Linked DNA regions of Macaca fascicularis. The protein of the gene in region 2 purifies or fractionates together with the protein of the main gene of each other region. This does not show direct contact. Links are inferred from orthologs where the notes say so. Each region holds a gene or a part of one and is shown on either strand. Other genes may lie near its edges.

Region 1 (4,247 bases), on a different chromosome or scaffold from region 2:
TTCCAAAATGTCATGAAATGCAACCTACAAAAATAAAATGTGCTTTCCAACGGTAGTCATTATTTCTTCCACAGTTTAAAAAAAAAAAACCAAAAAACCTGACTTCCAGGCATTTTGACATCATCATTATTGGCATATCAATCTAGTCAATAAAGATGAGGATGAACACAGAAGAGTTCCACATTGCCAAAAGGATAACTAAAAAACAAGTTGCTCCATTGACCTGTTAGTATCATGCAAAAAGAAAAAAAGTAACTGAATACATAGGCAGGCTATTTCTGGGAAAATCAGCTTTGCCACACACACACACACACACACACACACACACACACACACACACAAAATTCATGAATGCTGAGTTTATTCTGTGATTTTAGAAAAACACCTTAGATCATACTTCCAAACAAGAAAAAGTCATTTATAAAATATTCATTTTCCAAGTGCAAAACAGATTAAGTTGTGACATATATTAGGCATGTGTGCTCAAACTTAGTTTTGATCATGAATTGCAGTGATTCTGAACAGGAAACTGACGGTGCATTTTAAGACAAAAAAATCACACTGTCAACAACAACAACAAAATGAGTCAGTGATAAGATGGATAAAAAAAAAATTCCTAATACTTCTATACTAGGAAGGTAAAAATAACTATGTTATTCAATAAATTGAACTGCCAAATACGTTTTTTTGGTAAGAACACGGCAGAGTAAGATGGGTGGGAAAAGGCTCACTTTTAAAGGCAGACCTGAGTTTTATCACAGGTTCTACCTAGCAGAACTCAAATTCCCCATCTGGCAAATGAAAATATCACTAATTTAATACGGTAGTGACATCATCTATACTCACATTTAAACTTAAAATCAATTTTCATTTAAAATAACAACTTCAAGTCAAAAAAGTTGACTTGCTTTTGGCTTAAAATTACTGTATTCAGATATTAACAAGACCTCTGGTGAAAATTTATTTTTCCAAAGTTTGGATGGCAGACCCCCCTTTGAGAGGCTGAGGATAACTATGAACAGATTTTTGTCCAGAACTGCACATTTACACACAATTGCTTTGTGTCAAACCCCTTAAGCCTTGGAACCGAATTCAAGTTAAAGAGCCCTGGTAACCCAAGAGAACCATTTCCTTAAGGGGAAAAAAGGCAACACTGAATATATTTTAATTTGAAAGAAATCTTATCCTAATCACTCAAAACTACAGGAACCATCAGGAGTTCCTATGTCACTAAACCTACCCTCACACTAAAAGTTCTTTAAAAGATTACTAACATTAATGTTACCTAACCCCAGCTACCCAAATAAAACTACTGTGCCAAATGCCTCAATGGTAAACTACGCTCCCATTTCCCCACTGTACAACGATTGTGCGTCAAGACTCATCTTCGGAGCAGTATTACCTTCATTCTAAGGATAGGAAAATCCCAGAAATCTTTGGGCTCCGACTTACAAAATATTTCAAAACAGGTCGAAGGCCAAGAATAACAATTGGAAGGAGCAATTACTTTTTCCCCAGATATTGCAAAGCCTGGAGGCATATCCAATTTACCCGCCTGGCAGCTTCCCCATCTTTCCAGCCCCCTAAGTACCGTCAGCATCCTCTGGACAACCCAAACCCAGAAGTCTCGGGAGCCGAGTGGTACTAATTTTTTTTTTTTTTTAAGGCGAGACGCCAAAAAGAGAAAAAGTGCCGGACTGAGAGCCAATCAACTGCGCCTGGTTCTCTAATTCATTCCTACACTTACTCATCCCCCCTAAATTCGATGGGGGATCCGAGACAGCTGCTGCTGCCTTGGTTGCTTCCCTTCCAGTGGAACAGTGCCTGGGAGGGGCTTCCTCTCCCTTCACAGAAGCAGCTGCGCCCCGCTTATCCCCACTGCGCACTCGGCCATCCAGCTCTCGCCATTGTTTCTGCCCAGAACAGATACCGCCCCCGCAAAGACCGGGAAGAAGAAAAAGAGGCCCAAGTCCTCGGACGCGCTGCTTTTAAATGCCTCCTTCACCCTGCCCGTGCATCCCGCTCCTAAGGGGTCATCTCCTCGCCCTTCCCCGAAGTTTGGTGGAAACTAAAAACCACATTCAGAGGTAGGAGAGGGAATTATGGGAGTCTAGTGCGAAAAAAAGATGGGTCCCCCTGGGCCACGGTAACCAAGAACATCTGTTCATTGAGAGCATTCAAAGATTTGTCAAGATTCACGAAAGAGACAAATAATTTCAATGTGAGGAGCCGGAAATCCATTTTGCTTGGCTCCAATAGGTTAAGAACAAGGGAGCAAGGGTGAGAGCATCATTTCGTATCCACAGGGTGTGAAGCTGAGTCTGGTGCAGAGAGAGAAGCCCGGCTCTGCGTCCGATCGCCACGATCCGGCGAGGGAGCCAGCTCCTCCTCCCCGCTGCGCCCGCTCCCCACGCCGCAAGCTGCCCTCACCTCCATCTCGGCGTCTGCGGGACCCGCGCTGGCCGCAGACGCAACCGCCTGCGCAGCGACGCCCTCGGGGCCGCCTTTGTTGCTGCTGTTGCTCCCGCCGCTGGCGGTCGAGGCTGCGGGCTTGGAAGGCGCGCTCTCGGGAGGCGGGGGTGGCGGAGGCTCGGCCGCGGACGACATGATGTTCCGTCTGCGTCACCCGCTGCTGCCAGAGGCCGAGTCCGGCGGGGATGGACGGGGAGGCCTAGGCCCGGGTGGCTACGTCGCAATAAACTGGTGGAGGAGCGAGACTCCCACCCGAGCGCTCCCCCGCGCCGCGCCTCCGCGACGGGCCTGAGCCGGGCCCAGGAGCTACACACTCCCAGACGTTCTGCTCTTCCGCGGGGCTCTAGGTTCCACCGGCGCTTACCTCACGGCGGGAATCACGTCGACGAGGATGGGCGGGGCCAGACGGGTCACTGAGGTCAAGGAAGGCGGGCTGATTTAGAGAAGGGCGGAGGGTTGGGGGAAGGGAAAAGGAAAACGAAACAGAGACTGAGGCTGGGAAAACGCTTCGCCGCCTCCTCCTCCTCTTCCTCTGGCAGATATCGTCTATCTCGCCAGCATCCAGGACGACTACCTACGCCACCGACTTTCAACCCTCGCGAGATTCCTTATTGGTTCACTGACTGGGTACTGAGTGCGCATGCTCATACTGTCCTCCTTACCCTTGGCCCCTCCTCCTCACCCTTGGCCCCTCCTCCTCCAGACCTCTAGCGGGCTCGGGAGAGAAGAGTAGGCGGGACCTCGAGGGAGCGCTCGGAGGCGTAGGTTTGTGCGTCTGCTGTCTGGCAGGACGCGAGCTCAGTGTTTTAGGCTTTCGTAACGGCTCACGGTTCTCGTTGTGTCTTCCGGGCCTGGCTGGGATCGGCGGCACTACTGGAAAACTTGCCTGAGTTTTGCGCTGCCCATTCAAACTTGGAAGTCTTGTGTCTGACCCCAAAACTTCTGCCGTATCCGCTTAGAGGCGTGACGCCACAGCCTTGACGACGTTATGGTTACCCCAAGTGACGTCTCACTGTTTTGTTAAAAAAAAAAAAAAAAAGTCCGTTAGTTTTTTCTTTTTTGGTTTTTGTTTTGTTTTTTTGCCTTCTCATGTTAGCTGCGTCAGTTATTTCTAAATATCCTCTTTAAGCACAGAGTTAAATGCTATTTCTTCTGAATTTATATGCTAAAGGTAAGCAAATAACATGCACACTACCATGTAAGTGAGAAACACAAATAGTATGTGGGGAAGATAGGTGGTATGATGTAATCTTTTCCTCAAGCATCAAACATTAAAATTAAAACGCACTTTCTCAAGTGTTCAGCACTAATTTTGTATACTGCCTTAGGCAGCCTTCAATGTAGCTTAAGGGCCTTGTGCATTCATCTCCTGCAAAATTTAAATACATTGTAGTCTATTTGATAACAAATCTGCATACTACAGTAGATTATCTGCCCAGCACAGGGTCTTATTTATCTTTTTTTATTCGTCATATCCAGTATTCTATAAATGTTTGTTGAATAAAGGAGGCACATTTTTCAAGAGTTGAGGTTTGAGCTAACTGGTTATGTTGAATTCCAAACAAAAGGGATCTCCTTTGAATATATAGCCTGCAAATTTTTTAACTAATGGAATAATTCTTTAATTGACATCTGGAAAAATGTCCCCACTCCACTAGAAATGCTAGTTCTTAGACTGTAAGGAAATGTCTAAGGATATGTGCAAAGATAAATACCTACAATGATGTTCATCATACTCTTCATATGTAACTGCAAAAAGCTAACAGCAGTAGGCT
Region 2 (3,562 bases):
CAGCACTTGGGGAGGCTGAGGTAGGGTGGGTCACCTGAGGTCAGGAGTTCGAGACCATCCTGGCCAACATGGTGAAACCCCATCTCTACTAAAATGCAAAAATTAGCCGGGTGTGGTGGTGGGCGTCTGTCATCCCAGCTACTCAGACCTGTCCCTCTACCACCTTCCCACTGGGGCGGCCACCTGTCCTCCCTGAGGTCCCACTACCAGCACCCCTCCCCACACCACAGGCTCGCTGGAGCTGGGCGTGCAGAGTGGTGACGGCTTCCTGGTCTGCCTGAGCCTGGGGGCAGGTGGGATGCAAGAGCTGTGTGGCATTCATCTCCTTGCCTCACGCTGCGCCCACAGCTCCTGAGCCCGCTGAACCTGGAGCAGGCCGCCTATGCGCGAGACGCTCTCGCCAAGGCTGTGTACAGCCGCACTTTTACCTGGCTCGTGGGGAAGATCAACAGGTCGCTGGCCTCCAAGGTGAGGGCTCACTCCACACTGCTCCCGAGGCAGGAGGGAGGGCCATCAGTGGGGCGGGGGGCTGCGGGGTGGGGCTGGCACACGCAGGGGTCCACGCCTTCGGTTGAATGACTGCCCTAGGATGCGGAGAGCCCCAGCTGGCGGAGTACCACGGTTCTCGGGCTCCTGGATATTTATGGCTTCGAAGTGTTTCAGCATAACAGGTCAGTGCCACGTTTCCCCCGTCTCCTCCCAGGCTCCTGTCCTGCTCCCTCTCTTCCGTCCCCCAGCCTCTCATTCCTGCCCCGTGACTCCCCAGCCAGCCGGGGACTGGCTCTGTGTCTCACCTCCTATGCTCAGGGGCCTCGTCCAGCCTTTCCCCTCTGCTGGTCCTATGTCCCCACTGAGCCACTGTGGACGCTTCTCCTTCCTTACAGCTTTGAGCAGTTCTGCATCAATTACTGCAACGAGAAGCTGCAGCAGCTCTTCATCGAGCTCACGCTCAAGTCGGAGCAGGAGGAGTACGAGGCAGAGGGCATCGCGGTGTGTGCAAGCCTGAGGGCACTCTCTGGGCCATGGGGAGCCTGGGCATCGGGGCCCCTGGGAGAGGGTGCCAGGACACCACGGTGATGCCTGCCTTCCTTTCTGCCCCTCAGTGGGAGCCCGTCCAGTATTTCAACAACAAGATCATCTGTGATCTGGTGGAGGAGAAGTTTAAGGGCATCATCTCGATTTTGGTGAGTCCTCTGTGCCTTCAAGGCCTCGTGCTGGAGGCTGGGTGGGAGGATGTCCCCGTTCTCCGTTCTCTCCAGGCTGGTCCACAGAGGGCCAGAGTCTGGGGCTGAGTAAAGACAGGGCAGGGCTGTGAATGGCGGATGGAGGGAGGCGCCGCCCCGGTCAGAAGCTCTATGGAGGCTCCCAGTGATCTGCCCCCTCCCCTGTGTCTGAGCCTCCCAGCATGGTGACCCCAATCCTCTATGCTCTCTGGCCCCTCCCCCATATGTCCCTCCCCCTGTGCCACACCCCCCAGGATGAGGAGTGTCTGCGCCCCGGGGAGGCCACGGACCTGACCTTCCTAGAGAAACTGGAGGACACAGTCAAGCACCATCCACACTTCCTGACGTGAGTGGGGCCGCGGGGCTGCTGGGGGCGAGGACTCACTTGTGGCAGAACCTGCAGAGTGCGGGAGTCCCTCCCCGATCCCAAAACACCAGCCACAAGGAGGTGACCAAGTGCTGAGTTAAGGACCCCTCATGTGTGTCCAAAAACTAAGAAGCTTAGCCAGGCACGCTGACACACACCTGGAGTCCCATCTGTGCAGAAGGCTGGGGCGAGAGCATCACTAGCCCTGCAGTTTTGAGGCTGCAGTGAGCTAGGATCAACCCACTGCACTCCAGCCTGGGCTACAGAGCAAGAGCCTATCTCAAAAAGTAAAAAAAAACAGCTGGGCGTGGTAACTCACACCTATAATCCCAGCACTTTGGGGAGGCCAAGGTGGGTGGATCATTTGAGGTCAAGAGTTCAAGATCAGCCTGGCCAACATGGTGAAACCCCGTCTCTACTAAAAATACAAAAGTTAGCTGGGCGTGGTGGCAGGCACCTGTAATCCCAGCTACTTGGGAGGCTGAGGCAGGAGAATCGCTTGAACCCGGGAGGTGGAGGGTGCAGTGAGTTGAGATCTCACCATTGCACTCCAGCCTGGGTGACAAGAGCGAGACTTCGACCCAAAAAAAAAGAAAGATGCTAGTAGCCTGGCTTCCTCCCTGTTCTTTTTTTTTTTTTTTTGAGACGGAGTCTTGCTCTGTCGCCCAGGCTGGGGTGCAGTGGCCGGATCTCAGCTCACTGCAAGCTCCGCCTCCCGGGTTTACGCCATTCTCCTGCCTCAGCCTCCCGAGTAGCTGGGACTACAGGCACCCGCCACCTCGCCCGGCTAGTTTTTTGTATTTTTTAGTAGAGATGGGGTTTCACCGTGTTAGCCAGGATGGTCTCAATCTCCTGACCTCGTGATCTACCCGTCTCGGCCTCCCAAAGTGCTGGGATTACAGGCTTGAGCCACCGCGCCCAGCCCCTGTTCTTTTTTGAGAATGAAACTTGCTAGGCCAGGCTCAGTGGCTCATGCCTGTAATTCCAGCACTTTAGGAGGCCAAGGCAAGCAAATCATGAGGTCAGGAGATCGAGACCATCCTGGCTAACACGGTGAAACCCCCGTCTCTACTAAAAAAAATACAAAAAACTAGCCGGGCGAGGTGGCGGGCACCTGTAGTCCCAGCTACTCGGGAGGCTGAGGCAGGAGAATGGCCTGAGCCTGGGAGGCGGAGCTTGCAGTGAGCCGAGATCGCGCCACTGCACTTCAGCCTGGGCCAAAGTGCGTGACTCTGTCTCAAAAAATAAATAAATAAAAGAACCTTGCTGAGATTTTTCCTTATTTGGAAACTGCTTTTTATTGAAGGAATCCCCTGAGGTGGGGCGAGGTGGGAACAGGAGTAAGTGCCTCTGTCCAGCGCGGTCTCACGCGTGCCGTGCACGTCGTAGCTTCTCCTGCGGCCGCTCCGGGAGGGGTTCTTGGTGTTTTCTCACTGAGACTCCAAGAGGCAGAGGCACTTCCCCGAAGTTACCTCTCATCTAGGTTGCCGAGCTGGGGTCAGTCCCAGGGCTGCTGAATGCCAAATCCATGAGTATTTTTTGCATAATAAGATACTGAGGCCGGCCGCGGTGGCTCATGCCTGTAATCCCAGCACTTTGGGAGGCCGAGACGGGCGGATCACAAAGTCAGGAGATCGAGACCATCCTGGCTAACATGGTGAAACCCCGTCTCTACTAAAAAAAACCAAAAAACTAGCCGGGCGAGGTGGCGGCGCCTGTAGTCCCAGCTACTCGGGAGGCTGAGGCAGGAGAATGGCGTGAACGCGGGAGGCGGAGCTTGCAGTGAGCTGAGATCCAGCCACTGCACTCCAGCCCGGGCGACAGAGCGAGACTCCGTCTCAACAACAACAACAAAAAAAAAGATATTGAAAATTTGTCTCTGGATGGGCACAGTGGCTCACGCCTGTCATCCCAACACTGTGGGAGGCCGAGGTGGGCGGATCACCTGAGGCCAGGAGTTCAAGACCAGCCT

Evidence for each region.
Region 1: the proteins of MYO1C (region 2) and SMARCA5 purify together in Homo sapiens (affinity purification with western blotting; 3 studies listed by BioGRID, with this or other methods). This does not show direct contact. The link is inferred for Macaca fascicularis from reciprocal best matches to the Homo sapiens genes MYO1C and SMARCA5.

The regions. Positions count from the first base shown.
Region 1 is NC_088379.1:148,622,934-148,627,180, reverse strand, and holds the start of SMARCA5 (SWI/SNF-related matrix-associated actin-dependent regulator of chromatin subfamily A member 5), read right to left. Parts: upstream 2,831-4,247; 5' UTR 2,608-2,830; coding exon 2,431-2,607; intron 1-2,430. UniProt on the Homo sapiens protein: ATPase that possesses intrinsic ATP-dependent nucleosome-remodeling activity.
Region 2 is NC_088390.1:1,589,033-1,592,594, reverse strand, and holds part of MYO1C (unconventional myosin-Ic), read left to right. Parts: intron 1-348; coding exon 349-468; intron 469-588; coding exon 589-671; intron 672-884; coding exon 885-990; intron 991-1,103; coding exon 1,104-1,184; intron 1,185-1,477; coding exon 1,478-1,569; intron 1,570-3,562.